Drosophila melanogaster: one gene and its partners. The protein of the gene in region 4 purifies or fractionates together with the protein of the main gene of each other region. This does not show direct contact. Each region holds a gene or a part of one and is shown on either strand. Other genes may lie near its edges. The genes, in order: Pak, stnB, pix and Git.

Region 1 (7,410 bases), on a different chromosome or scaffold from region 4:
ACTCACGGTAAACTCGCCGGTGACAGCATCGAATCCCACATGGACCGTGTGCTCAAAGTTCGTGGGATAGGAGATGTTCGGCTTGGAGTCCGTGTGCGAGGGCTTCGATCCTTTGATCTTGCTCTTCAGCGTTTTCTTCTTCCGATCGGAGTCGTCGGGTTCTTTTTGGGAGAAGAGAAAAAAGCACATTGTTAAGCGGACCAGAGGTCTTCACATGCCGTGCTCAACTAATCGAAATGTACTCACCCTTGGGCAGCGGACGCATGTCGGGCGGTACATCTCCCATACCGCCACCTCCCAGTCCTCCGCCACCGACGCCCACTCCTCCTCCCGATCGTTCATTGCCGCCCCGGTTGCTGGTGAGACGCACAGGCGGCGCCGGCGGTTTGTCTTCCTCGCTGGACATGGATTCGTCTTTGTGTGCTTCTGGCTCTTCTGGTTAGCTCCTGCTTCCTCCTCCTCCGCTTCGTCTAGCGCCCCGTTATGCACAGCTGTTCTACGCCCAGAAAACAGCTGTCGAGAGTGGGAGAAAGGGATCAGTATGTTGGCCATAACTAAGTATTTCGCCTTAACTAAAATGTACTAAATATGAGACAACTATCTTAACGATTTTGTATCATTGATATATTTTCAATTCTTATATTACTAAGAAAGACTATACATTTTTTAAATAAGTGCTTTTTCCAAGAAGAACATATAATTTTAAATGTAATATGTGCTAGATGTTTTCTAAAGCAAATTATTTAGAAACTGGTGATTTCATCAACACAGTTCGAAATTGGGAACAGTGCAGAAATGATTTAATGCTTGGAGTATTCCAGGGGTGCCAACCTTCTGTTATCTATCGCGAAAAGTGTTCCGCAGCTTATCTTAGTATATATTTCGTTCTGTATTCTTTCCCCAACGTATTGCAATCGCGTCATATGCTTCTACAAAATCACAAATTTGTCATACAACTACAAGAGATAGATTGTTTGCATATATTTTTCTCGAACACTTTGGCGTTGTGTGTTTCACACCATTCTGCACAAAGTTATTCATTTTTGGCTTTTGATTATTATTTTTTTTTTACCGATCTTCATGAAGATCACGTCAATACTGTGTGCTCTAGATTTTTTGGCACGCGGAAAGCACTTTGTTTTGCTTTTTGAATATGTTCAAAAACACAACACCTACACACACACACACACACACTGGTTGGCTGCAGCAGGAGAGGAGACATATAGCCGCAGTTATAAATTTATCAATATAGGCCGTCCGGCGAACTAATTCGGACTGTGGGCCCGCTGCTCAGTTGTTCCGTCAGCGTGTCTCCCACCTTCGAGTGTCACTGCCACTAGAGCAGGCTGCAAAAGGCAACAAACAACATACATCGCTCCAAGAGATTGTCTCGAGCACCCCAGCTCGCGAGAGTGCCTCCCCTACATTGCTTAAAAGCTGATTGATATGGGTATTCGAATTTTGTATACTCTCCGAAGCTAATTTTATAAATTAGTTGAGACTATACATTTCAATTCAGCAATTATTGCGCATCTATGTGAGGAACTTAAAATATTATCCTATTTAAGTTAAGTGTGCATTGATCATAATTGTATACCCACATCTATTCACTTTTAGTTCATTTATTTTAAATATTCATTGGAGCACCTATAGAGCATATGGAGTTAAAAAATATGACCCAAAATGGAATAATCATTAAAGGACTATATTTTAATTTCAGTTTCCATTAGACGCAAACCACTGTTCTCACACAACACACTTTAAGGGTATCCTCTCTACCTCAGTTGCTCCGCTCTCGCCCACGTAAACGATCGAGAGCCATAAAAAATTCGTTGCGATAACAAGAGTGGCTTCGATTGCACTCATAATAAAAACAAAGCAGCTCACGCATTGGGAATTACAGCAACACAAATGAGGAAATTAAGCAGCGAGGACAGCAACAACATAAACACACTCGAGTGGGCGGCATCGCAGCCAAACATATGAGCGAGAGGGCGAAAAGGAGTGGGAGCGCAGAGTGGCGAGGAGAGCAAGGCGGCTTTGGCGCCTGTCTGCTTTGCCGGCGACGTCGACTGCGCTGCTTTTATGATTCATTTATCATCGTCAGGCGTCAAGAGTCAATGCAGCTAACGGGAGGCGGAGAGTCTGGGACGAGGGGGTGGCGAAGTGTGAAAACGTTGGACAAACATTAACATACAGTTCCAACAGCTGTGGTCAACTTAATAGCATAGCGGGGATCTAATAAGATATCAACTCCAACTTTTGAATCATCAGAAAAAAGGGTTCTTAGTGACCAATATATGTACATATATGTGTACATAAGTATATAAGAGAATCATAGGATAAAATACCCAAATCATTATGTGTCATGCGGTTCATTCCGACATTACCTTTCTACCCCAATTTATCAAGTGCAATGTTTTCTTGCTAATTGTTTTTAAATTCACCGATGTAAGTAGATTGTTTACTCAATAGATACGCTCGTTGATTTCAATTACATATGTATGTATGTCGATACATACTGAATTTAAGATAAAAAGTAAAGGAGTATCGACAAATAGAAAGTAGTAAACTTGCTGTGTGATATATTCTTGACCGCAACTGTATATCTGTACTATAGGCTTTATGGGCATACGTTGGTTTACTGGCTGCTTGCCCAGAGATCTATAAACGTATATATGTATGTACATATAATATGCATGCAAACATACACACATAGGTGAAAATTCGTTTTTAAATCAAGCAAGAACAAACTTTTCGGGAGCGTGTGGGCGCCCAGAACTGGGTTAACGATGTACCGCATTGTGTTTGATTTCATTGACGGTCGAACTTTAGGTAAAATCGATAAAAAATGTTTTTCTTTCTGCAGGGGCCCATGCAAAATTATTCCCTAATGAGAAAAACACACATTGTAGGCACAGGAAACTCGACAACACTTGCGGCATTTAAATTAGCGACAGGGGTTGTCAAACGCAGGGGAGCGGAAGGGAGGAGGGTAGGACATTCAAAGTGACGCAGGCCTAGGTGCATGTTGCAACAACAGCGACGCAAACGTGGCGCTCGCTCCAAGAGCTGAAAGAAGCCACAAACATATGCATACTTCTTCGCCACGTTTACGCGGAGCCAAAGTTTGTGATCAAGCTTCTTGATTACTTTGACGACTGCTTTATGTTAACTTTCTATTAAAACTAAACTTAAGAATTTATTCATGGAATTCATTTTACGCAATTTTTCCGAGGATTGCTGTATAAATATGAAGCCAAAACATGACGAAGATCACCTTCTGCTGTCCGAAGACTTTAAGTAAGTTATCTTAGTATCAATATACAAAATGTAAGCATTAAAAATGATACGATGATTATGGTCGGTGCATATTTAGCGAGTTGCCACGCATAACTGCTGGCGACGGAGACTCTCAGCCGCTCCGACGTTGTCTATTTTGGTTGCGGACGCCAGCCGAAAGCAGCAGGCGGAAATGTTATGCCTTTTATATTCCTCTTTTCAGTTCCCTACCGCGACCGCTTCCGCGCGTCCCTGTCCCTTCCGCTTTTACCTGTGACCGTGCTAAGCAAATATGTTTTTCGTTGAACGAAGGAAGGGGGTGGTGCACTGGCGCACTGGACATGTGCCGTTAGAGCGGTAACTGTTAAATGCCAAATCGACTGCGAAATGTTGTTAGTTATTAGAGCTTTATGTAAATGTCTTGTATCGTGTCACGTGTGTTAATAGCGGGGGAAGGGGCATTGGGGCATTCCAGCTTGTTGACATTTGGTTGCTTTATTTTTGGGCTGGAAATTCGGGAGCAGCAATGTGCTAATCCAAAATAATGTGGCGTGGAAACCACTTGAAACGTTTTCCTTTAATCCACATACACGCACACACACACACGTGAGTTGGAAAAATCAATGTGTGCAACCTCTCCTTAGGCGGTGTGTGTGTGCTTGTCTGTGCATTGGAAGCCAGACCAATTGGACTAACGGTGCACTCTCTTTTTATGAATGAAACTCCCTCGCCCCGCTCTCCACAAGACCATTCTACCCGCTCCACTCGGCCACCACTCTCCACTTGAACTCACTGCAAGTACAATATGCCTTGGCTGCCTTTCTTTTGCACGGTGCACCCTGTACGCCGCTTGCAGTCGAAGAAGAAACGCTTGCGATTCACGGATTCGCGTGGACACCACTTCTCCACTGGCTTCTTGGAGTTTTCCGAGCCCACAACACTTGGCCGCACTCGCACACACTCCAAACCGCACACACACTGTATTGTTTTCCAGTTTTCTCTGGTGTGTGTCATAAATGGCCGACGGACGAGAGGCACCAGCAGCAGTTAAAGCGCAGCAATCTTATGGCGCTCCGCAAACTTTCTCGCTTTCTAGCTTCTTTAGCAACGCGCGCGCATTTTCGGTCCTTGCATCACCCACTAATTGGTTTACATTATTCAGGGGTTTGTTAACTACGAAAAATAATTACAGAAAGACGACAAGACGGCCGCAGCAGACAATGTAGCGATGGCAAAAATATATCAATATATCGATAGCGAACAGAAACGAATATATTCGCTCCGTGACTTTTCACAACATATCGATGAGTTTTTTGTATTGTGATTGGCGACCTTTGAAAAAGTGTTTTTCAAAAAATACCACATCAAATTTTGAGTTCATAATAATCTCTTTGTTCCAAATATTTTTATTTCCAACAAATTGCATAGTGCCAATAAAGTTTGGGGCGTGTCTAAATGCCTCCATGAACGATTGTTGACAGAAATGAATGCATTTTTAGATATGGGTTGAAACTTCAGATAGCGAAGTTACTTTAGATGTTTGAACTGGCGAACAGAAAAACAGCCATTATCTAGTACCCTCTTTAAGACTAGGTTTTTCTTTAATTTTGAAAGATGAAGATAGATATGAGCCTAAAGTGTTTTTAAGATGTCCCTGACCACGCTGCGAAACATACAAGAAAGCGCGCAGTCGAAGCGCCTCAGGCACAGCTGCCTCAGACCAAGGAGCAGTTGTCCGAACCGCAGGTAGTTGGATTGCTGCAGGGTGTAGCGGGCTAAGGAGATCAGGGCGGCTTTAGAGTGGCTTCCCAGGATAACGGCATACTCCGCATTGATGGCCAATTCTGTAAAAACATGCAATCGATATAAGCAATTAAAAGTATTAAAATGGGATATACTAATGGTGGTTTGACTTCCTATTAAACTCTTAATTAAATTAAAACGATGTAAAAGGTCTTAAATCTGTCTCTAATCTTGAATCTAATCAAATTTTATGGTTGGTTCAAACAAACCAACTGCACATGCTGGAAAATTTTCTTTTGAATTTATTAAGCCCAAAACGGAAACGTTTTTTCTGGGGTTAAGAAAACTGCTTGGGTGTACTCTTTCATGCAGAATCAAATAGCAAAATCTATACATAGCGTACATAGGATTTAAATTTTCGTCTAAGAAATCACGTCAATATGTGTAAAAACATTGAAAATTGGTTAGATGGCTTCAAACCGCTTTTATTTTTAAATCCTAACAAGCCTTTTTACCGCACAGGCGGAGCTTTACCTTTTCTGCACAGGATTAGGGACTCCATAAAGTTGAGTTCCAGGACGTCGGCCCTTAGCTGGTGGGCCTCGCAAATGAGCCGTTTGAGCTGCTCATCGCCGCAGCCGTCGATCATGGCGCTGATGTCCAGAGACCAGTGGGACGCTCGCAGGACGAAGATCTCGCTCCACACCACCTGAAAGATGGCGTCTTGTTGGCAGCGATCCAACAGAGCGAACTGCTCGTTGGCCTTCGCCTGGCGCAGGCACGTGACAAGGATCTGGGCGAGGATCTGGAAGTGCAGCGCCTGGGAGTGGGGCGTCGGGGATGGCGCCGCCTGAGATGGCGGAGCTTGTCTCCGGCCAGTGCGGTAGAGAGCCACCTGCTGGTTGCGCGGACCGCGCTCCTCCTGAACCGCAGCAGCGTTCATTCCCACGGCCAGGCATCGCTGGAAGCGGCAGGAGGGACACCAGTTCCGCCGCGCCTTGTCCACCACACAGTTCCCGACCAGAGCGATGCAGGCGTAGCTGCTCCCGCGCCGCACGCTCCGCTTGAAAAAGCAGGAGCACCCATCGCAGCAGGACACGCCGTAGTGCTTCCCGGAGCTCTGATCGCCGCACACTGCGCAGGCACTGAAGTTCGACATGGTCACCGGTTGGCACTGCTTGCCAATGAGCCAAAGAGTCGCCGCGGACTGAATCAGCTCATCCCGGATATTGGCGGTTTTATATGCCACCTGGATGTGCTACACCCGCAAATGATATGCAAACCAGTTACACAGAGCAAAAATATGTTTCCTAACTAGAGATGGAAATTGTATTTCAATGGGATCCAAAGAACAAATTCCTAAAAGCGAAATATCACTAAAATATATTTTATTCAAACTTAGGACTTTCAAAACTAGAATGCAAGCACCAGAAACCTTTTAAAATAATTAAGATATTTGTGTAAGAAATATATATAGTTTGATAAAAATTAAACAGTATCGGTATACGATAAGTTTTTGTTATATATCAATCTCGTATTTAAATATTTAGTCGTAGTCAAGTTAAGATATAAATCCAAAAAAATTTGATATAGATTTCTCCCAGTGTAGTAGGGCCTTGTGCCAAAGCGTGATTTGAGGATTTTTATTTGCCCGAGACGCCCCTGGCAGGGGGCGTGGCGCGTCAAAAGTGACAATCATCTACTACTATTGCGGACCGTGTTAACAATTTGTAAACAATTATTGTTTTGCTCTGTGATTGGACGTGCGCTCGCCACTCGAGGTGTCCGCGTTGAGGTCCTTTTGTCCTGACATTTCGGGCAAACAGCGAAGACGTTCTTTGGGGGTTGGGCTTAGAGAAGTTCTTATTCCGGAAATTCTCGAACTGTTTAATTAGACGTTTGTTTTAAGTCGCAACTTTTACCTAATTCTAGGTTAATAGGCGAATCACATCTTAAACAGAGGGATATATTAAATAATGAGTTCAGTCATAGAACGGCTTAGATCTCTTCGTCGGTGATATACACTGATAAACAATTGGGAGCGGGTGGAAGATTGCATTAGTCAATCGAATGATCTCAAACTTGCCTTAGCCAACCATTTCAGGCCTGGAAAGTACTGTAATGCAAGTACTTGTATTAGTCAGTGTCAGTGACTAATTCCTTCCATACTCCTTTCAATAGGTTCATTCCTAGCCAGTTACTAGCTCACGTTGGTCTAAAAATCTTCTTAAAAGCAAGCCCATAAAAAGAGAGGTTGCTCGGATGACAGGACATTGGGCATTTTTTACTAATCTAGTCTATATTCGATTTAGTCCATCAGTAAATGAAAGATTAAATTAGGGTCATTCCAATGATGTTGAAGAACATCAAAGTCTTTAAGGATAT
Region 2 (7,598 bases), on a different chromosome or scaffold from region 4:
AAGGATGAGAATTGTCATCCTGCAAGATGGCCTTTAGGAAAGGTGGAAAAGGTGCATAAGGGGAATGATGATAAGGTCCGAGTGGCTAAAGTAAAAATGCAGGAAGGATATATCACTAGACCCATTACTAAAATTTGTCCCTTGGAAGGAATAAAGTCTGTTGACAAAAATGAGGCTGACCAAGAGCCAAAAAGACGAACTAGAGCGACATCGGGAATGTCCAAGATCGGAATCATTATGGCAATGTTGTTGTTTGTGTTAAGTTGTCAAGTTTCTAGCGCATTACCTAAAGATATAGCACCAAGATATTCTATAGACAAAATAAATAAAACCTCAGCAATATATCTAGACCCGCTAGGAGATGTTGAGATTGTGAGTACTTCTTGGAATTTGGTTATCTATTATAAAATGGATCCATATTTTAAAATGTTAACAAAGGGTAATGCGCTTATACAAAGTATGAGGAAAGTTTGCGAAAGACTTCATAGCTTTGAAGAGCAATGTAGTCTAGTCTTAGATAATATGCAAAGTCAGTTATCGGAACTTGAAGAAAACAATAAATTGTTTATGATACAGTCTAGATCTAGAAGCAAGCGTGCTCCTTTCGAATTTATGGGTTCCTTGTATCATATTTTATTTGGTATAATGGATGAAGATGATAGAGAGCAATTAGAAGAAAATATGAAGAATTTGTTAGATAACCAGAACAACCTTGATAAACTAATTCAAAAACAAACATCTGTGGTTGATTCAACTTCTAATCTATTAAAGAGAACAACAGAAGATGTTAACTCCAATTTTAGAAGTATGCAAATAAGAATTGAGAACATGACAGAAGTTCTTAAAGAAAATTATTATGTTTATAAGGAATCAATAAAATTCTTTATGATTACGAAACAGCTACACTCATTGATTGAAGAAGGCGAAAAAATTCAAGCAGGCATTATAAGCCTGTTGATTGATATTAATCACGGTAGGCTAAATACAAATATTCTCAGGCCAAATCAGCTTAAAAAAGAAATTGCCAAAATTCAGCAGAGTCTTTCGGAGAACCTAGTAATTCCAGGAAAACGGTCAGGTACGGAACTTAAGGAGGTGTATACACTGTTAACAGCCAGGGGTTTATTCATCGACGATAAATTGATCATTAGTGCAAAAGTGCCTCTGTTTAGCAGGCATCCATCCAAATTGTTCAGGCTTATTCCGGTGCCAATTCGAAATGAAGATCGGATAATAATGGTGCATACAACGTCCGAATATTTAATTTATAATTTTGAGATAGATTCCTATCACATAATGACGGAAGCCACATTAAATCAATGTCAGAAATGGCAACTAAATAAGAGAATATGCAAAGGAAGTTGGCCCTGGAATTCAGCGAATGATAATGCATGTGAGATTCAGCCTCTAAAGCCAGATAAAGCGGCGAACTGCATCTATAAAACAGTAGTCGACTCTAAAAGTTACTGGGTAGAGTTAGAAAAGAAAAGTAGTTGGTTGTTTAAGGTTCCTGCGAATTCAAAAGTCCGTCTGCAATGTACTGGCTCTCAAATTGAATTGTTTGATTTGCCTCAGCAAGGAGTTTTAAGCATTGCGCCATATTGTACGGCAAGAACCGACGATAAAATTCTAGTTGCCCACCATAACATTCAGTCCGAAAGTGAAGAATTATTATCAACACCTTATATAGGAGAAGTTAGTGAAGCGCCGAAGATTATTTGGGATCCGCTGAAACTATCAATATTAAATCATACTGAGGAATTTGAACGATTGAATAATGAAATTAAATTTATGAAAGAGAACCATCAAAAATTGAAAGATTTACATTTCCATCATATTTCCGGACATGCTGGATTAATTATTGCTTTAATACTAATGATAGTATTAATAATATATTTCATACGGAAATGTGCTGTGCAACAAAGAATGCAAGCAATAACCTTTGCAGGTCCGTTGCCAGTACTATAAATATCAATAGTAAATAAACAATAAAATAATATAACAAATAAAAATATACAGTCCACTATATCGTTGTTTAATAGAAAATGTACTTCTACATAGAAAAAGCAAAATGTTTAAAATAAGTTAATTGAGTACAAATTGTTGAATTAAAAATAATATAAACCATAATTGTAATCCAATAAAATTAAAAGCCAGAAAAACTAGGCCCATTGAAATCTTAGTTGCAAAATAAATGAACATATATCAAATAAATACAGTCCACTACTGTTATAAATGCAACTAATATACTAATGTACATCTCAGCTTGCTGGCCCTTTGGCAGAATGTTCACACATGAACACGAATATATTTAAAGACTTACAATTTTGGGCTCCGTTCATATCTTATGTAAATGAATCGAGAGCGATAAATTATATTTAGGATTTTGTTATCTAAGGCGACATGGGTGCATTGCTCAAAAACATGTAATTTAAGTGCACACTACATGAGTCAGTCACTTGAGATCGTTCCCCGCCTCCTAAAATAGTCCCTTAGTGGGAGACCACAGATAAGGTCCTCGCCGCTCAAGATAGGCAGATGTGCCCGAGCGTGGGACCTCGATAAGGCGGGGACTATTTACTTAGGCCTCTGCGTAGGCCATTTACTTTAAGATGCGATTCTCATGTCACCTATTTAAACCGAAGATATTTCCAAATAAAATTAGTTTCTTACAAAAACTCAACGAGTAAAGTCTTCTCATTTGGGATTTTACAATAGGCAACATTTATATTCAGACACATTGTTTATACCAATTATTTGCACTTAGGACAGTGCGAATTTATTACGTTTTAAGCACAAATTTTAACATTTTAGCTGTTTATTTTTGCTAATCACTTGTCTTGTTTAAAGAACGTTAATTTGGTTCGCTGATTACGTACCATTTAATACATTTTTCAAAACGGTTTTCATGCGGTTTAGGTTACATCTTTCAGAATATTAATGCAAAAGTAGGTATTATAGAATACCGACTTTTGAACAGGATTACATGTACAATAAAACTTTAACAATAAAAAATGGATTTAGACCCCTTGTAAGCATCTAAAACCTAAGGATCTCTATGAAAAATTGATTTCATATCATAATACATACAATAAGGCAAAATTCTATCCATGTTGAATAATAGGTACAAATAAAAATTGGTTTGCTCATTTTTATTTAATCTAGCCTGAACGTCACATTAAAATATCATTTGTTGACGCACTTCCTTGCCAAAGCTTAAATAGCTTTTATTTTCGCACACATGTCACTTGGCATATCGCTCGAGTATTTTTTGATCTTACAATATATTATTTTACAATATATATTCTTCTTAGTTTTTCTTTCTGTTTCTTCTCCTTTCTAATGAGAGTTGGTTGGAAAAATCGATGCTCTAGAGACGACGGATTCGTGCAAAAGAGACAGCTCCCCCGCACTACAAGTCACACACACTTGGACACTTACACACGCGCGGCACATAGAAAAGTTAAGCTCTACAATTATATATTTATGGGTACAGGAAGGAGCCCAAAGAACTGTAACTTTTATATGTATGCCTATCCCCACTTCGAAAAAATGTACGCAGCTGAATTTCCGAAGTTTTCCTTCAGGAAATTATGCAACTTACGTCTCACTCTTGTGCATACAATTATCATTGTACGAAAAAAAAAAACACATTTCTCTCACTTGTTTTCGAAGATAATATTTTGGCATATACTTTAAAATAAGCAAAGAGCTAACACAAGTACCTAGCGTTGTTTGTTTTCAGAGGACTTTAGTTTTTCGTTTTGATTCGGTTCGGGGTCTTTACCTCTGATTTGAACTATCGGGAAATCTAGAACAGAATGAATTAAATGTCGTGAAATTCCGTAGGAAGTGCTTTTCGTAAGCTGCGACGTCAGCAGAGGAGAAACAGCGGTACGGCGCACCAACGGTATATCCTTTAAAAGCTACATAAAGCTCTGAAAAGCACTGTACTTAAGGAAGTTTCCTTCCACAGCTGACATTACCCTTTTTTATGGTATTTTTTATCCCTGTGTGATTTTTCTGCTCTAAAAGCTTCAAAGCTCTGCAAAAGAAAGACTTAAACAAGAGAGGATTCTATAGTCCGGTTCCCCAATTATCAGATACCCTTTACTCAACTGGAAGTGGAAACGAGAAATTCAAATATTTTTTGGAATATTGGTAAAAATTGGGAAAATATAATAAAACAGAAAATAACCAATAATTGCTGAAAATAGTGAGACGGACAGGAACAGATCGAAGTGGCTATTGTTATATAGTTTATATGTTAGGAAACGCTTCCTTCTGCCTGCTACATACCTTTCAACAAGTCTAGTATACCCTTTTACTTTACAAGTAACGGATATAAAGAGAAGCGCTGTCATCTGCGTCACTGTCATATGACACTAGGCATTTTATTAAGTCTTGATTTCTGACGCATGCGTATCCTAAACATATTTCAGCCCTGAAAATATTATGGACGACACGTGATATTTCGTTCATATTCAAATAATCGCATAATGTTTAAATTAACCTAACCCTCTCAGCACCAACATTAAAAAAAACGTATTATACCCGTTACTCGTCAAGTAAAAGGGTATACTAGATTCGTTTAAAAGTATGAAATACCCACATTTTTTAATCATTTTTCGAAATTTTTTTTTATAATTTTAAATTTCTATCGATTTGCTAAAAAAAAAGTGTTAAGCAGCTGATTGAGAGAATGCAATTCCCGCCAAATTATTTGCTTACTTTTGCACGTGGTACGATCGTTAATACGCATCCATAAATTATTATTATTATTATTATTATAAATTATAATTATAATATATATAAATTATAAATTTAAAATGTTATATTATAAATTATAATAAAATATGGAAAATAAATGCCAAGGTATGTTGTTTTTAACGTATGTAGTTAATATATGTGTAGTTGCACTGTTTTTGTGTTGTGTAACAGTCAATTTATGTGTATTTTAACAGAGAATACTAACGTGTCCCCTGTGTTTCGTGGAGTATAACTAATTTTCTGAAAAAAATTAAAAACGTCAGTTTGTACCTTTAACTATTATCTTTGACGGTAAAGTAATATATTTTTCTCATTTTTGCTCGTTTTCTTAAAATTACATTTTATATAGGCAAGTTAAAGTTCAGACATAGCGACCTCCTGGACATTTGGAGGCGTAACAATAGGCAAATAAATGTATGGTTCAGATTACGTTTATTCCGCAAGAGATTGAAAAAAAATAGTACATTTTGAATTATTTATTAAAAGAAAACTGCCCGAGTGTAACAGACAACTAGACCGATTTATTTCCAAACATACCAAATGGATGGCGTCTAAGATAACAATTCTTGTTAAATTGGATTTAAATGGGACGCCGAAACTTATCTTAGCAAAATGCAGGAGAAAGATTAAAAAGGAAACTAGCATCCAATCGGGCAAGTAAAAGTGATCACGACACAAGTCTTTTGATTCATGCAGCAACTGTTTCTGCTAGAAATGCAAAAGGGACGTTGCCTTTGTTCTTAAAGAAACTTTAAAAACACCAGATAACACCAGAAACACCTATAATGAAGTGATCGAAGCAAAATTGCAGTGCCGACCAGAGGGTACAGATGTAATGCTCAAGTGCTATTACAAATCTCTTGGATCATACAGCGCAAAAATTAATTAAGTTGCAATCTGATGTTTTCAAGCAATTTCCAGATATCTTTATAATCAAATTAATTTGCAGCTACAGATTTGATGGGACAACTGGTCATAGTGCTTACAAGCAGAAATTTGAAACTGAAGCACTTGGCACACCAATTTCTGATCAATCTTTATTTTTAACTTCTGTCATACTTTATTTATTATGTAGAACTAGAAGAAGAAGAGGGCGATTATTTTTAAAACAATACTACACACATACAATACACACTTTTATTAAAAAAAAAAAAAACAATAAAATTTCGTTGACCCTGAGTCATACCAGTTGTTAATGTGGGGGAGGCAAGAGAGGGCGTGGTCGCACAAATATTGTGGGCAAACTATTTGGGATTTAACAACAAAATGTACAAAGTTTCAAGTCTGTAGCTCAATTTTTAGACTTTATGCCAAAAAAATCGAATTCTGGACCACAGTGCATTGCAACACAGTATTCACTAGTGTTGTGTCGTTCGTGAACGAACGAACTAAATTTAACTATTCCCCAAACTGAACGAACGAACTAGGTCTGTCTTTATAGTTCACTTAGTTCAATATAGTTGTAAACTCTTTGTTATTTATTACTTATTATTATTATGTATAACTGTTTTTGACATAAATTTTAATGTCAGCATTGTATGAGATAAACTCATAACATTTATTGTGAAGCACCTTTAAGCAAGCTTAAAAAATGAACGATTGAACTAAATGAACGACCTAGTTCATTGATTTTAAACGAACGAACGAACCTATTCCCCAAATTGAACTGGGTTTACTCAACACTTCAAAATACTCAATTGAATCACAACCTGTGAGCGGTTGTAGCATATTTTAGAGCTAAGTGCTATTCAGATTGCCCCAGCGACGAGTCGGTTTTTAGATAAGTAGTTTTACGAATTTCATGTTAGCTACCTAAGCTAGGAATTATAAAAAATAAGCTCAGTTTTAAAATTTGGCAATTTAAATAAGTAAGAAATTAATAATGTGAATCTCGAATAACTTTATTTTCTGCTGAAAACTTTTATTTATTTAAATATATATTTTAAGTTGGGAATGAAGTACGAACAAATATTTTTAAAGTGCAACTTTGATGTATCGATGTATCGATTGTATTTTTCTAAATCGATAGCATTCCAGCTCTGCATGCATCTATCTTCCCACGTACGATACTACTTATCGCTAGGCCACATCGTTTTTTGACAATTTTGCGATTGCTGGGACTTGCAAACATAACGATTCATCGATATTTTTCTTGAAGCACTTCACACAACACTAAATCAACTGTGATTTCTAACACAAAAGAGGTAAGCAAGCCATTAAACAAAAGCAAAGTCTAGGTAAAGGACCAAGACTAAAGGTTTGGATGGTTTTCATGCAGTCGTCTGACCTACTGTGAACATTTAAACACACACACAGAATTCTTCTACCTTTTATTGTGGTAATTATAGGAATTTTAATCATCTTTTACATTTACATTAACTCGTTAAGATTTATGCCGGTAGTGCATAAACTTTGGACGTACCCGAACTCGTACAAGACCATCTAAGATATACTGGCCAAAAAACGAAAAGATTATATTCATATATTCTCCAGAGAATGGAGAGGTTCATTATCATTATAATCATCAGATTATATTCATACTGCCTAGTTTTGTCCCACATTAAACCTATATGCTTCGGCTTTCTTATGTTCAACAAAGCTGCATAATACTTATGTATTTAAATACACAATCGATTGACAGAGCAACAAAAATTAAGCTGATTGCGATATAGAATAAAAATCGAAATATCTCCTTCAATTTTTTAAGAAAAACAAGCGAGTCAGCTAGTTTATCTGTTTTCCGTATGCCACAACACTGGCCGAATTCAGACTGCAATTTAAGAATAGTTTTAAACAAATCTTTGTGGTTTCTAGCTAAGCATTATGGA
Region 3 (7,421 bases), on a different chromosome or scaffold from region 4:
AAAAGTTAATTAGTGGGGGCCAAATCAAATCGGACACCCCGCCGAGGGCGACACCATGGAATTCGCCGACCTTATAAAGACCCCCAAGCTGGACGGTGTCCTGCTGCACGACCCATCGAATGCGGGGGCGTCGGGTGCAACAGTTGGCACACTGTGCATCACAGGGCACCATTTGCTGCTCAGCGCCCGCCAGGAAACCAGCCAGGAGCTATGGGTAAGTGGGTTGAGGCCTGCCCACCTAATCCGATGTGCTTCGGCATCAGTGGAGCGCTCATAATTGAATTAGAAATTCATCATGCTCATCCCCCTCTTTTCAGTTGCTCCACAAGAACATCGACTGTGTGGAGAAGAAGCCTAGTTTGTCGCAGAATATCGTGGTCGGTGGGATTATCACCCTGAAGTGCAAGGACCTGCGCATCATTTCGTTGGAGATAAAGTGCGGCAAGGAGTTCTTCAACGTGGCCGCATCGCTGGAGGCACTCAGTGCCATCCAGAACACCGAACTGCTCTATCCATTCTTCTACCGGCCCATGTACTCGATCCTAGAGGACGGCTACACGATGTTTAGGTGGGTACACGGCTTCTCCATAACTAACAAATTGGCTACAATTCAATTAACCTCCCCATCCAAACGACAGGCCCGAGCTGGAGTTCGCCAAACTCATAAGCGGGGTTGGCATGGGCGGTGCGTCCTCGCCGAATGTGGCCAACATAACAATTTGCATGCCATCAACTTCGACATCGACGTTGACTGTGGGCGCCGGCATTCCCCATCCTCTGCAAAATGGCTATGCGATAGAAGCCCTTGCGTGTGGTGTTGGTGGTGTGGGAGGTGGTGCGCTTCAAAGTCCCCAGGCCTCCTGCGAGTGGCGCATCACCAACGTCAACAGAGACTTCAGCGTCTGTGCCACATATGGCGCCACGCTAATTGTACCTAAAGCAATTACGGACGAGCAGATAGTGCTCTCCGCTGCGTTCCGCGATGGCGGCCGCTTCCCCGTGCTCAGCTACAGGCATGAAAATGGCGTAAGTCATTGCATCTACATCATCAAATTTTATTAAATTAATTCAATGATTCATATTTGCAGGCCACACTAATGCGCAGCTCCCAGCCGCTGTCCATTCAGGGCATCAAGCGCTGTAGAGCTGACGAGGCTATCCTTAATCTGGTGCTGGGTCGCAGTCGGAAGGGGTTCATCGTGGACACTTGGGGTAAGGGCAAATCGAATACGGAAACTGACCTGCACTACTCGCAGTGGAAGAAGGTAAATCGTTCAATTGGAAACGTCAGTTCGCCCGCCTCTATTTTGGACAGCTTTGCTCGGCTTATCGAAGCTTGCAACGATTTGGGATGCAGTACTGATAAATGGCTATCGCGACTGGAGAACAGCGGCTGGCTTAGTCTTGTGCTGAACTCACTGAACGCCTCCTGTGTGGTGGCCCAATGCCTGGACCAAGAGGGAAGTCCAGTGTTAGTGCACGGTGCTAAGGGGTTGGACTCCACGCTTATAGTCACCTCACTGGTGCAGATCATTCTCAATCCGGACTGCCGGACTGTAAGGGGGTAAGTAATCATATTCTCCTTACCTTGAAAAAGATATTTATGCCGTGTTCCCTTTGCAGCCTGCAGGCTTTGATAGAGCGCGAGTGGATCCAGGCGGGACATCCGTTCGCCTCGCGTCATCGCTACTCATGCTATACACCAAATCAGACACGCAATAAGACCTCTGGTGCCACCTTCGTCCTATTTCTGGATTGCATTTATCAGCTTTACACGCAGTTCCCCTGCAGCTTTGAATTCAGCACTCAACTGCTGATCCTTCTATTTGAGCACAGTCACTTTTCGCAGTATGGAACTTTCCTGTGCGATTCAGAGCGGGAGAGAAACGAACTGAATGTGCACACCAGGACGACGAGCCTGTGGTCTTATTTGAACCGGCCTGATGTCCTTCAGACATTCTTGAATCCGCTGTACGAGCCTAATGCCAATGTGATATGGCCATCGGTGGCGCCCATAAGCTTAGAGCTGTGGAGTGGTATGTTTAAGAACTTAATATATGAAACATTACTCATCAAACATGCATTTTAGATCTCTATTTGCGGTGGGTGATAGATCAACGCAGCTCAGTCACAGTCATGTCGCAAATTCAGGAACTTGTCACCCGCGAGAAGGAACTCAGGACTCAGGTAAGTCCACTTGAGTATTGATAGCGAAATGCTTACTGATGACATGTATCTTTCAGGCCCTCAAGTTGCGCAAACAAGCCATGGAGCTCGGCCAGGAAGTGTCCAACCTCATGAAAAGTGGAAACGATACATAGTCGGCTACCTCAAATGTTCTCTATCTTTTAATCTCCTGCATGATATACACTTATTTTTGATACGTTCTGTTGCAAGATTTCGACAATTATTTAAGCACATAGCAAAACTAATGTTAAGTCACTAAAAGTTCCATTTACAAGAAATTATGCTGAAGGAAAAAGAAAATAAACAAGGTAATTAAATTATTGGATAAACCATAGGATCTGCTTTTGGATCAACTGAAACACTCAATTTTAGACATACATGTGTCCATTTTTACTAACTATACTTCTATTGCATAAGTTCGGCAAAACAGTAAGAAAACTCTCCTTGTAAAACGCTCTCTACTCTCAGACTCAGATTGGGATTCGAAACAGCACAATGCAACTATCAAATATTTGGGTCAATTTTTGACGCATTTACTTTTATGGAATTTTTAGCGTATAAGTCTCCAAAATTACCTATTTATAGTACTTACTTGTGTCAGTTATTTAGTGGTCAACAAGCCACAGATCAAATTAAGTATTATAAACTCAAAAGATTTGCCTTTTTCGAAAAATTGTATGTAAATTTGATTAAATCGCATAAATTTAAAGCTTCAAAAGCGTTTACATTAAAAATATGCTGTGCATGCGTTGGTATATCTAAAAACAAATATTGTAAATTATATACTTATAAATGTTTGTAGCTGTTATTCATTGTGCGTCGATTTCGTATTGTGATCAAATTTGAAATGACAGAAATTTGTATGTAATTTACATTTGTATTGTGCGTATTTTGAGTAATTATCGCTTAAGTGCAATAAATACGTGTTAATTTGCAAACGTTAGCTCTTTTAAACTCGCAGGATTCTATGAGCACCACTTTAGAAAAAAGAACTTTCAAATGCAGTTTTGTATAAAGAAAATTGGTTTATTTTTGCTAGACTCATTTAAAACAACATTCTGTTGTTTCGGTTCACTATTTATTTCGCTGTAAAAACGTATATAAAACTCACTTTAATCAAGTACAATTAATCCCCAATTTTCGATTGTACGCAATCCTCGACAACAATAACAAATTAATTTGAAAGCAAATGTGTTCTTCAACGAAAGAATGCAAAATGAACGAAGGAAAGCTGAGGAGAACATAGAGAAACGAGCTGTCCCATCGAAGTTGCCCGTGATCCTGTCTTAGTTGCAGGCTTCGTCCTCCAAGAAGAAGAACTGGCCGGAGCGTTTCTGTTCTGTGTCCTTGACCGAATTGTTTTTGTTAATGCGGGGTCTGAAGTTGTTGGGATCGCGACGGAACGTAATACCAAGCAGTTCGAGGAAGCGGTTCATGCCATTTAGCAGCGACTGCGGCGAAAAGGCTGTCGTCTTCACTGAAGGCTGACCCTCGATCACGATGACACGGTCGGCGAGGTAGGTGGCCATGATGAAATCGTGCTCCACCACAAATCCAGTTTTCTTGGCGTGCAGAATGTAACTAAAACGAGATACCATCAATATTTGTGTGCAGATTTAAAGTCTATGTAAAACATACCGTTTGATAACCTTGGCGGCCACCAGACGCTGCTCTGAATCCAAGTAGGCAGAGGGTTCGTCGATGAGGTAGACATCCGCTGGCTTGCCAAGACACAGGACCAAGGCGACTCGCTGCAACTCACCACCGGAAAGGTTCTGCACCTCCTGGTCCATGATTTCCTCAATTTTCATGGGTTTCATAACATCGGCAATAAACTGAGGATGCACGTAGGCGTCACGAATCTTATCGTGCAATAAATGGCGAACATGATTTTGGAATTTCGGGGAAATCTTCTGGGGCTTGTAGGAAATATTCAGCATAGGCAGTTCCACCTCGCCATCGGGTTGGAGGTTACCGGCCAGCATGCGAATGAACGTCGTCTTTCCTGTACCGTTCTCGCCCAGGAGCACCAGGATCTCGGAGTCGCTGAAGTGACCCTTTTCCACCGTCAACTCGAACTTGCCCAGGGTCTTGACCATGGCGGGATATACGTAGTGGTTCATGCGCTTGATCTCCTCCTCCGTAGCGGACTCAGATACTTTGAAAGTAAGTGACTCAGTGCGGAATCGCATGTTTTCGGTGGGCACAAAGCCATCGAGGAAAATGTTGATGCCTTCGCGCACAGAGAAAGGCATAGTAACCACACCGTAGCAGCCGGGAACTCCGTAAAGGCAGCATATAAAGTCAGACAAGTAATCCAGCACAGACAAATCGTGCTCCACCACAATAATAAACCTGCATATTACAGAACCACGTCATAATTTTAAACAATGGCACATTATTCATCAACTTACTTGGTGGGATGCAGGAGTGATCGAATGGTCAAGGCAGCGTTCAGACGCTGCTTAACATCCAAATACGAGGACGGCTCGTCGAACATGAAGATGTCTGCATTCTGTATGCATACCATGGCGATGGCAAAGCGTTGCAGTTCTCCGCCAGAAAGCTGAGCGATCTCACGATCACGGATGTGCGATAGATCCAGCATTTCACAAATCTTAGTCTGCAGCTCCCTCTCGTCCTTCTTATCCAGAAGATCGCCCACAGCGCCACGCACCGCCTTGGGGATCTGATCCACATACTGCGGCTTGACCAGCGCCTTCAGATTGTCCTCCAAGATCTTGGTGAAGTAGTTCTGCAGCTCGGAGCCGCGGAAGTAGCTAAGGATCTCCGTCCAGTCGGGCGGATTGGCGTACTTCCCCAGGTTCGGCTTTTGTTTCCCCGCGAGGATCTTCAAAGCGGTCGACTTGCCAATACCGTTCTGTCCCACAAGACCGAGCACTTCACCGGGACGCGGAATGGGCAGACGATGCAGCTTGAAGGAGTTCTTGCTGTATCGATGCGTTGTGTGCTTCTCCAGATTGCTGGGCAAGTTGATGATTGTGATGGCCTCGAAGGGGCATTTCTGGGGAATTGAAAGCACGGGTTATTCCGGGAACTACAGCAGTTGTAGGTAAGCTGACCCACCTTGACGCAAATACCGCAACCGATGCACAGCTCCTCGGACAACGAGGCTATCTTGGACGTGGGCGTCACCTCGATGCAGAGCTTGCCCATGCGCACCACTGGGCAGGTCTTCTTGCACTCCTGCCGACACCGTTTGGGCTTGCACTTGTCATCGCTGACGATGGCAATACGCGTCTGCTTGTCCACCTCCTCGTTCTCCTTTCTGCGCGACATGCTGTTGATAGTTTTCAAATGAGCAAATTAAACAGAATTGGCTTCGATCCACTAATCAGCCGCCTATATGATAATCAGTCCATTGTCAACGTTGCAAATCACCATCCCCGACCGTCAAAACAAAACTGGTGCACCGATTCATGGACACAAGAGCGGGGGTGAGGTGCCAGCGTTTGTCAGTGAGTGAAAGTATAACCTCAAAGCGTGGCCAAAACAATGGGTTTCCACCATAAATTTCTATTGTCTCTCATGCGTCAGGCATTGTTCTTAAATTTCACGTTGACAGAGTGCTGAAATATTTGAAATTTACCTGCGAACTTGGCCGAAATTGTTGTAAAACAGACAGAACGCACGCTCTTGCGTGTCAGCCAACAAGTTTCAAAAGGGGGGAGCTTTGATGAGTTTCTCAACACTACTACGAATAGGGATGCGCCGTTGAAACTATCGATATCAATAAGTGGGCTTGAATTTCGTATAGCATGTTTATAATTATTTATTGTTTTGTGCAGTTATTTTTACATAACATAAGTTTTATAATGTTTCAGGGATTTTATTTAAAGTAAGCTTAGTGACAATCAAATAAAATTTATAACTTCTATCTCTCAATATAGGAACATGTAATTTCCGAACTGATAATATATCCTATAAATAAATATAAATATATATCGCACAAGAGCCGCTCTTAATAATATCGATTATTTAGTGTTTTTGACAATCCCATTGGAATTGCAATCACTAATTTTTACACGTCGTTGATTTGTGTCGACTGCTAAGAAAATGGTCGTGCAAGAAGATAATCCAAATACTGGGGACGTTCAGGAAAAGACGGAGACTGCTCCGGTGGCAGAGCCCTCCAAGATCTTCACGGTGGAGAGTAAGTGCCCCAATCGCCTACAGCCAACTGCCAGGTGGCCCAGACGCCCAACCATTTAACCTAAAATTTAATGCTAATGCCCTGAACTTTCACTCCTGCTGCAGTTCTGCACATGATTAAGGATGCCCAGCAACAACACGGCCTGCGCCACGGCGACTTCCAGAGGTACCGCGGATACTGCAGCCGCCGCATCCGTCGATTGAGGAAGGCCCTGAAGTACCCCCAGGGCGACAAGCGGCACTTCAAAAGACGCGACGTGACCATTGGCCAATTGACAGGCAAGAAGGCGGACGAGCGTTTCATCCACATCCCATTGATCTGCGCCGAGCGGGCCTGGGCGTATGCCATGCAGCTCAAGCAGGAGTCCAATACGGAGCCGCGAAAGCGTTTCCATCTGGTCAACAAGCTGCGCAGGGCCTGTTTCTATGCCCTCCAGCTCCAGGAGTTGTGTAATGTAAGCTGTAACTCACTGTTATGATTAATGTTTATTGAGCTTCATTTATAATTTTCTTGTAGACGGAGGCTTTCGATGCGCGCACTAAGCTAGAGTGCGAAGCCTATGTTGCCTGGATGCACGGAACCCTGCACTTTGAGCTGCAGCTATGGAAAACCGCTGGCGAGCACCTAAAGCGCGCCCAAGTGGTGTACGAAAACCTGGGCAAGGCTCTGCCCGAAGATGAACAAGAGCTTTACCGCGCTAAGGTTAATGAATTTACGCCCAATCTGCGCTACTGCGCCTACAACATCAGCGGTGGCGCCAGTGGCGGCAAGATCGACGAGATCCTGGAGCTGCGCGCTCAGGGAGTGCTTGAGAATCTTGACGTACTGGTCAGTCAGACAAAGACGGAGAGCAGCGAGGGCCTGCAGACGATCGACTGGCGCGGTCGCAAGGTCACCGTGCGTCCGGAGAAGGTGCGTTTGTTCCTGCTCAGTGCTCAGGAGTTGGACAAGTCGCTGGCCAAGACCACCAAGCAGGATGCCAAGATAGAATTGATTGAGCGTATTTTGATGGACTGCAAGGATGCCATCCAGGCCGTTCGCGACGAAATCAAACAGGATC
Region 4 (8,388 bases):
GCAGTGAGCACCTTTACCCAAGGAGAACAGATGATTCCTGTGCTCAATACGGTGGGAACTCACTGTGCCGTCTTTGGCAACCACGATTTTGGTATGAAGAAGATGAGTTTTAGAAGGCATTTTCTAACTTATAATCCTCTCCAGATCACGGCTTGGATGTGCTGGTCAAACTGATCAAACAGACAGAATTCCCCTGGCTCATGTCCAATGTGGTGGACAATGAAACCGGTCGTCCATTGGGTGGTGGCAAGATCTCGCACTTCATACTACACAATCAGATATCCATTGGCTTGATTGGACTGGTGGAGCGAGAATGGTTGGAGACTCTGCCCACCATCGATCCGAATGAGGTGACCTACATTGATTACGTGGAGGCGGGAAATAAGCTTGCCCGCGAGCTGAGAAACGAGGGATGTGACCTCATCATTGCCCTTACCCACATGCGTACTCCCAACGATATTAATCTGGCCGAGAAATGCAACGGCATCGATATTATACTCGGTGGTCACGATCACGTCCGCGAGGTCACCGAAATCAATGGCAAAATGATTGTCAAATCAGGCACGGACTTCCAGCAATTCTCCGTCATCACTATCGAGCGGGATGCCGCCAATCGTGAACATTTCACAACGGACGTCAAGTGCTTCGATGTGACGGCCAAAATTCCGGAGGATCCGGAACTGAAACAGGAGCTCTCCAAATATGCCAGTAGGTGGAAAGAACATCATTTTTGGGTTTTAGTTTAGTTTTGTTTACGGAATTTATTTTCGGCAGGCTACTTTTTGAAGGAAAGATTAAGATTTTAAATTACTAAATCAAGCTAATCGAGTTCCTTGTTCCTTACAGAGTTCATCGAGAGCAAGCTTTCGGATGTCATGGGTGTCTTTAGCGTGGAATTGGATGGCCGTTTTTCCCGCGTACGAACCCAGGAAACAAATCTGGGCAACTGGGTGTGCGACGTGGTGCTTGCCGCCGTTGGCGCCGATGTGGTCATCCTGAATGGTGGCACCTTCCGTTCGGATCGAGTGCATCCGGTGGGTGCCTTTACCATGGGCGATCTGGTGAACGTTATTCCCATGCGTGACCCACTAATCCTGCTCGAAGTGAAGGGTAAAATACTCTGGCAAGCACTGGAGAACGGAGTGTCTGCCTATCCCAAGCTGGAGGGCAGGTTCCCCCAGGTGTCGGGCATCAGTTTCGCCTTCGATCCGCAGGCGGAGCCTGGCAAACGTATTGATCCGCAACTTATCCAGGTGGGCGATGAGTACCTTAACCTGGAGCAATCATACAAGTTGTGCGTCAAGAGTTATATCTTCATGGGCTGTGATGGCTACACCATGTTCAAGGATGCAACTGTGCTGGTGAGTCGTGGCTTTTCATTTGCATAAAGTTCTCGTTTTCAAGCAACTATTACCCCATTGCAGATGGATGATGATGCTTGCCCGGAGTTGGGAATAACTCTGCAGAACCATTTCAAGGCCATCAATTCGAGGAAGTGTGGACAAAACACTAAGCACCGCCAGTCGCTGGTGACCCTTTCCCGGAGGCATAGTCTGGTGCAGTGCCTGGATAGTATGGATCTGGATGGACCATCGCCCATTCGCAAATTGTCCGTGGGCCATCACAACAAGTCGATGGATTTGACACATGGAAATTCTCAAAAGGTATTCGCGATTGAATAATAACTATATATAAATGAAATATCTGAAATGAAATATTTACTCCCTTAAAGATGTTACGACGTGCGTCCTTGGATGACCTGGAGCAGTCCACATGCGATTTGGCGCCACAACTGGAGCACCGTATCGTTATGATTCAAAACGAAGAAGTAATATACAATATTCTGTATATTTAATATAACAATTGACACTAAGCAATCCTTATTCCCGCAGCATCATCGACAGTTACTGTTCAAAAAGGAGACGCACATAATGAATTCCACAATCACCGAAGCTGAGGACGAGTAAAGAACTACCAAAAGTCATTTGATTTACAATTTGCATTTAATTTATTGTATTCTTTATTTCTTTTTCGTTTTTTCTAGTTACAAGAAAATAAGACAAATTGATTTAGGGACAGGTTCCGATGTGGAGAGAAACATTTGAGTACGGTTTAGGCAAAAGCAAAGCGAAGATATAACCATTTAGCTAGTTAGATAGTTGGCAGATCTGTGGGATCGTGTCCTATATTATTACCGTTTATTGTTAATGCTCCACTGTTTTTTTCGGCTAAGTTTCGTTGTGAACGTTTGTAAGACTTCCCCAGAGATATTGATATTGATATTGTATATGATGCATGTGTAGTGAGTACGTGTACCTAAAGCTTACCGCTAGTTTAATTTACTTTTAATTAGATAAACTGATTTACACAACCAACTGATTATTATTACTGTAACTACAGAGCAGCCCTTATGTTTTGTGATCTAGATAACGAAAAGAGTTTGAGCCGAGCTTTTGGGAAAAAACCTTCAGATATTCCAAGTAGTTGTTTTTAAAAAATCCCGAGTCCACGAACACAATCAAATACTGTAGGTTGTACGCAAGCAAATGAAAACCACTGGACCGCGACGAGGAGGACTACGAGTAGCAAACTGAAGGGGCAAGCAGATGTAAAGTGAATGTTAAGCAATATTTTAGACAATGCACCTAGATTTTGAATGTCAAAATGGGATGTGTATATTTTTATGGACACTTTTGGTGCGCTTCGAACATGGCAGAGCATATTATTTTTTAGAGACCGCGAGCACAGTCGTGCAACACTCATGGATAAATGCTTTAATCTTAAATAGTTCCTTGAACTTGCACACCACAACCACCACGAGTGTATTTTTGTCCATAGGCGAGCAATCCGACCACCAGCCGGAGGTCAGAAAAACAGCCAGAGCAAAGGCAGCAGCTACCCACTCAATTACACAAAGTTAAACAATAAGTAGAGGAAGCCACTTATACATATGTACTCCATGCTTAACTGATTGTCCATGCTTAGAACGTACAGTTAACTAAAGTGAACAATATACAGGCTCAAAATGCACCTGATTATTAAAATTATAAAGGACCCATAAATATATATATATATACACAGATATCGTAAATCTTTCCACCTCCTTTGTCTCCCCCCCTTTGAATTTGAGGGCCAATCCTTCAACACTTTTAAACTATTTTGCAATGGGTCATTAGCCCGTAGAAGAACGCATTTTGTGTATATTGAACGAAGTACATTGATTTATGTAAACATTTATTAAATACATAAACTATATGTAAAGGGGATTCTTTAAATTATTTGGCGGAAGCACTTTTGTTAGTCAGCAGGGCACTAAAGTGGTCGGTTAATACTTCAAAAAAGAGTGAGTGAGTTTAAACTTCTATGTCGATGATTGTGTTTTGGGCGTCTCAATAGAACTGCAACACCAAAGTCTTTATGGCACTGGCAATGTGGAAGGCGCAGTCGCGCACCTCCAAGGTGTTCTTCTGTATGGCCTGCTTGTCATCCGCCTCGATGGCTTTCTGCAGATTCTCGCACTCGTGCTGGATGAGAATGTTCTGGCGGGTTAGCAGTTTAAGGGTTTCGCGAGACGGGTCACTGGCATTCGGTGGCTAAAATATATGTTTATGATTATGAAACATCCTTATAAAGGAAGCCCCTATGTTCATCTTACCAAATTGGCATAAAGGGCAATTAAATCAGTCACGGCACTTCGTATAAGCTCTCCATGTGGAGCAATCGACTGCTTTTGATCCTCTGGCACTGGCTGCATAGCTCTTATGAGCTCCTTAAGACGGCGTGTGACCAAGTCAGAGCGCACTTTGACCTCCTCACCAAAAGGTTTGCCATCCCCAGCCATTTGGTACATGCTGGTCGTATTTCGTATGTCCGTATTGCCCTTGGCCACATTGGGTACCAAACGACGCTCGTACATGCTGGCTGGACGCTTGATGGTCGATTGATTTGACGAATCATTGGAGGAGCCGCTTTCCCCATTGGCAGTCCCACCTTCGGGTAGCGACAGAGGCTCGTGCTCTGTATCCGGACTGCTCAAGCTCAGATCAATGCGACTATGCAAAGGAAAATTTAAAACAAATCATAAAAATAAAGCTAGCCAAATAAATTCAAATGAAAAATCTCACAGTGGCTCATCGTACACGCTGTTGTTCGATGCGCTCGAGAACTTGGACTTGAGCTGCGTGTTCTCGCTGGACAGCATCTGCACCACGTTCTTTAGCTGATTGATCTCCGATTTGTAATCGTTCAGCTGTTTGCGCAGCGTTTCCATTTCGTTGTGCGAATTCGCGCTGCGCGGTGGCGTATGCACAATGGCCTAAGTAAAATAAAAAGCATAAAAACAAGGAAAATAAATCAATATAAATCAAGTACAACTAATAATTACAAAATCTTTAAAAATAAATATTGCATAAAAACAAAAGGCAAGGCAGACAAATCACGGTACCAACTACTACTTATTTAAACTACATTTTCACAAGTATCAGCTAGTTTTATTGAGGCTTATGTTCTACATTTGGACTTCTACCTTTGAAAATGGATTAGGTTGCCTAAAATCAGGGAGCTATAGTGCCCTGGCCTACGGATGAACACAATGGGTACAGCACGGGTTGTCTAAATGTCAGTCTTCGCTTACGCTTCTAGCCAAAGCTATTGTTCAGCTTGAGTATCTTTTGCCGCATTAGGTTTACCTGCTGGGCCATTGGTGGCACTGGGGCATAGTCGTCATCGCTGGCCACCGGATCATAAATGGGCTCGTCGTCCGACAGATTCGGATCATGACCGCCCTGCTCGAACGAGCCGAGCAGCATTGAGTTGTTGGCATACGGCAGCGATTGCAGCGACTGGTGCCCGGCCACTGGGGCATCCATTGGACGCAGGTTGGCCATATTCTGGCGTCGCATAGCATCGACGAGCACGTCGGTCAAGAGACCAGTGAACTCGGCGCGATTGAAGCGTGCCAATTTCTGACGACCCTGTAGGCGAGACCATGTCAATGAATGAAGGTTCGAATCATTAATGTACGGCGAGGTCAAACCTGATTGCGCGTGGCGCTCAAAAATGGATTAGCCGGCAAAAATGGCACAGTTGCATGATCAGCATTCAGGGTGCTTGTCGACCAGACTATTTCGTTAAGAAAAATAAGATTAGCTTTGTTTGTAGTCTATGTTTAGCAGTCATACTCACTGGCTTCGCACTCGCGTCTGTCCACCTCATCGTATAGGTCCATGACCAGCTCCTCAAACATCTTATTTGGCACGAGTTGCAACTTTCCACGTGCAATCTTCAGTTGCTCGCTTATGTCCGCGCCATTGGCATCCGGAATAATCATGTGGCGGCCACTCTACGTATGGAAATAGTATTTAAATAGAACGGAATAAGGAAATGGGTAGGAAAGGTCGAGTCAACTGTGCATTTGCTCATGGAAATATGAATCCATTAAATAAATATAGTTCTGTGACTAACAAAAATTTAAATAGATAGTTATAAACTTTAGACTGAAGACAACTTAAGGAGTTACAAGGATATAGCTTAATTGGCTTAATACATATATGATTAATCAATGGATAAGGTTAAATGGTTTGTCCAATTAAAGTATAATTTCACTCTGCAGGTAATTAAAGATCTAAACTCACCGCATGATCTGGCTTCTTGCCACCTAGGAAGGTAATGATCCTGTCGGTGACATCGTACATGGCATCAAGCAGTCTTTCGGCGATGGTGTTATGATTGTTGGCCCTGGCCAGTTCCAGAGGAGTCATCCCATTGCCATCCAAGGCATTCACATCGGCTCCATAGATGAGCAGCATCTCGATTTGTGATGCCTGGCCAAACTTGGCGGCCATGTGAAGTGGCGTTGATAGCTTGTCCTCGTGGTAGTAATTTGGGTCTGCACCCTGGACCAAGAAGCGCAGTGAAGTCTCTAGATTGCTGGTCCGCACGCTGGCATGGAGCTGTCTACTCAGCTCCTGTTCCAGACAGCCCGCTGAGCCATTGCCATCATCGTCATCCTGGAGACTGGGTTTTAGCACGAACGTTAGATTCACATGCTTGGCCTTAATAAAATCGGATTTGGTGGGATGGAGTGCATCCTTGGGCGTGGGTTTCCGCCAGCGTGGCACGTGCTTTCCGCCGGTGGAGTTGGTGCTGCCATCCAGCAGATGATGCTCCCAAACACTATTGGCTCCATGGGCGTTTAGAGAGTTCACAAAGTTCAGAACCGAGGGCTCCCAGTTACCCTGGCGTAGAGACTTCACAATGGAGATGTGCCTGCCCAGACTGCGGTGCACCGAACAGCAGTCGGCGCAGAGAAGGATGCCCCGGTTGATGCTCGCCCAGGATGGATCACCAGCTCCGCAATCGCCACAAACTTCGGTTTGCAGGCGGGATTTCCCCCTCGGCATTTTGGATCTGGTCGAAATCGTGGGTGTGGCTGGATCGGAATGATCCAAATCCGGCGGCGCTATAAATAACTTCCTGTGCGCTTCGATTATACTGCTGGCGAAACACATTCAGCATTCCAAGACGCTCACAAGCTGCAGGGGAGATACGAAAAATAGAATACCGAAGTTGAAAAAAAACTCGGACAATCTCAAGTGACTTCGTTGTGAGTCAGTTGCAAGCTGTTGGCTTTCTGATTGGAAATCCGAAACGCTGGCGGTGAAAGGTCAAATATCAGCAACTGGGGCTCACCCCTGGCCATCAATTAGGAAAATTACTTTTAATTAAACGCGGGGAGCAGCAGAAGAAAACATTTGCGGACGCCTTTTCCGAGTTTGTTTTAGTTATTTTGCGCACCAGTGTGACCAAACAGTAGCAGTGGAAAAGCGCTAGATTTGAAGTGAAAAGGCTGACGAATGTAGCAGCTGTGTTTGTGCCTTTTCAAATTTTAAAATCCATCATATACCCAGTATTACAGAAGTTGCAATATTTATTCGGTCAAAATTTTGCAATGGTCTGCAATACCGAAAAATCAAAAACCAAACAGGTGTAACTTTCGTAACTAGCCCTGCCAGACTTTTCAATATTGTCGGCTGGCCTCACTATTCCAGCTTCTTCACAACATATAGTTGTCTCACTTGCACTCCCTTAGAAATCATATGTTTATGAACAGATGAGACAGTTTTAGAAGCACTGCATTATTTGAAGCACATGTGCCAAAACAAAACAATTTCGCCGACATTCAATTCGAATTTAGTTGTCATTAAAAAATAGAAGTGCAACATTAGCATGCAAGTGGAGAATCTGCATACTTCAGTGGCCTGCAACCGCTGCACGGAATGCGCGGATTGGGGTCCAAATGGTTGGATTGCCTATGGGGCATGTAACGCCATAGCCATTATGGATCCAAAGGTAGGAAATTTTGCCTTTACTGGAAACATAGTATATTTAACCAATTTTTAGTTTCAAGGCAACTCAGCCAAGGTCCTGTTCACGCTGGTGGAGCACACAAAGCGAGTAAACACTGTGAGGTGGTTGGATTGCGACAAACTTCTTTCCGGCGGAGATGATGCAATTGCTATTCTCTGGGAACTGGATGAAACGGGAACGACTAAGAGCTTCACTCTCAAAGGACACACAAGTGGCGTAAATACTGTGGATGGAATTCGCCAACAGGATGGCTCCTGGCTTTTGGCGACCGCAGCAGCAGATACCACCATCAAGTTGTGGACTTTCCAGGATAATAATTATGTGTGCTTTCAAACCATATCTTTATCCGACGGATTCTGCTTCTGTCTTCGACTGCAGCTGCTGCCCAAGAGCAACCAGGTTCTGCTCGCCTTCAGTGGCGATGACGAGACTGTTTCCCTGTGGTCGGAACAGGTAGAAACCGCAGGTGAAGGAGATTCACTAGGTCGGCAGTTCCAACGCAAACACAAGCTCACTGGCCACGAAGACTGGGTTCGAGGTCTGGATTTCGTTGTCGATGGCGAGGATTTGCTGCTGGCCAGTGGCTCTCAGGATAACTTTATTCGTCTCTGGCGGATTGCGCCGCGCAGCAAAGAGCAAATGCAAGAGAATCGGGTTGATCTGCATCAATTGAGCCACAACGACGATGAGATAAAGGTGGAGGAGAAGATACTACAACTGGGGAAAGAAGCCTGGTATGCAGTGAGCTTGGAATCGGTTCTATATGGACATGAGGGATGGATTTATGGGGTCCACTGGCACAAAACACCCGATCAAGGTAAAGCACAGCAATTGAACTCCCCAAAGACCTTTCAAAAACGTTATCCATTTAGAGCTCCGCCTTCTATCCGCTTCTATTGACAAGACCGTCATAATTTGGGCACCTACGGAAGAAGGCATTTGGTTGGAAGAAGTTCGCGTGGGTGAAGTGGGTGGAAACTCCGTGGGCTTCTATGGTGGAAAGTTCTCCGGCGATGGACA

What was found.
Region 1: the proteins of Git (region 4) and Pak purify together in Drosophila melanogaster (affinity purification with western blotting, with the first as the bait; one study listed by BioGRID). This does not show direct contact.
Region 2: the proteins of Git (region 4) and stnB purify together in Drosophila melanogaster (affinity purification with western blotting, with the first as the bait; one study listed by BioGRID). This does not show direct contact.
Region 3: the proteins of Git (region 4) and pix purify together in Drosophila melanogaster (affinity purification with western blotting, with the first as the bait; one study listed by BioGRID). This does not show direct contact.

What each region holds. Positions count from the first base shown.
Region 1 is NT_033777.3:6,348,017-6,355,426, reverse strand, and holds the start of Pak (p21-activated kinase), read right to left. Parts: upstream 4,532-7,410; 5' UTR 4,076-4,531; intron 2,305-4,075; exon of another isoform or gene 1,888-2,304; intron 1,340-1,887; exon of another isoform or gene 1,177-1,339; intron 990-1,176; exon of another isoform or gene 832-989; intron 514-831; 5' UTR 407-513; coding exon 247-406; intron 162-246; coding exon 7-161; intron 1-6. Other genes in the region: Hr83 (hormone receptor 83), read right to left, coding at 4,915-5,126, 5,560-6,184.
Region 2 is NC_004354.4:23,000,825-23,008,422, forward strand, and holds the start of stnB (stoned B), read right to left. Parts: upstream 3,825-7,598; 5' UTR 3,726-3,824; intron 1-3,725. UniProt on the Drosophila melanogaster protein: Adapter protein involved in endocytic recycling of synaptic vesicles membranes.
Region 3 is NT_037436.4:8,968,860-8,976,280, forward strand, and holds pix (pixie), read right to left. Parts: upstream 5,907-7,421; 5' UTR 5,798-5,906; intron 5,559-5,797; exon of another isoform or gene 5,489-5,558; 5' UTR 5,488-5,488; coding exon 5,275-5,487; intron 5,213-5,274; coding exon 4,602-5,212; intron 4,543-4,601; coding exon 3,826-4,542; intron 3,769-3,825; coding exon 3,474-3,768; 3' UTR 3,197-3,473; downstream 1-3,196. Other genes in the region: CG5026 (uncharacterized protein), read left to right, coding at 56-214, 318-568, 639-1,026, 1,089-1,564, 1,624-2,036, 2,090-2,187, 2,244-2,321; Srp68 (signal recognition particle 68), read left to right, coding at 6,265-6,361, 6,466-6,815, 6,878-7,421. UniProt on the Drosophila melanogaster protein: Plays a role in translation initiation and quality control of translation. Together with pelo and HBS1, is required for 48S complex formation from 80S ribosomes and dissociation of vacant 80S ribosomes.
Region 4 is NT_033778.4:10,638,622-10,647,009, forward strand, and holds Git (G protein-coupled receptor kinase interacting ArfGAP), read right to left. Parts: upstream 6,807-8,388; 5' UTR 6,717-6,806; intron 6,534-6,716; 5' UTR 6,510-6,533; coding exon 5,634-6,509; intron 5,342-5,633; coding exon 5,185-5,341; intron 5,122-5,184; coding exon 5,036-5,121; intron 4,974-5,035; coding exon 4,689-4,973; intron 4,316-4,688; coding exon 4,125-4,315; intron 4,053-4,124; coding exon 3,656-4,052; intron 3,594-3,655; coding exon 3,390-3,593; 3' UTR 3,197-3,389; downstream 1-3,196. Other genes in the region: CG11883 (uncharacterized protein), read left to right, coding at 5-91, 145-708, 847-1,361, 1,425-1,664, 1,733-1,828, 1,893-1,967; Elp2 (elongator complex protein 2), read left to right, coding at 7,228-7,350, 7,402-8,185, 8,241-8,388. UniProt on the Drosophila melanogaster protein: GTPase-activating protein for ADP ribosylation factor family members, including ARF1.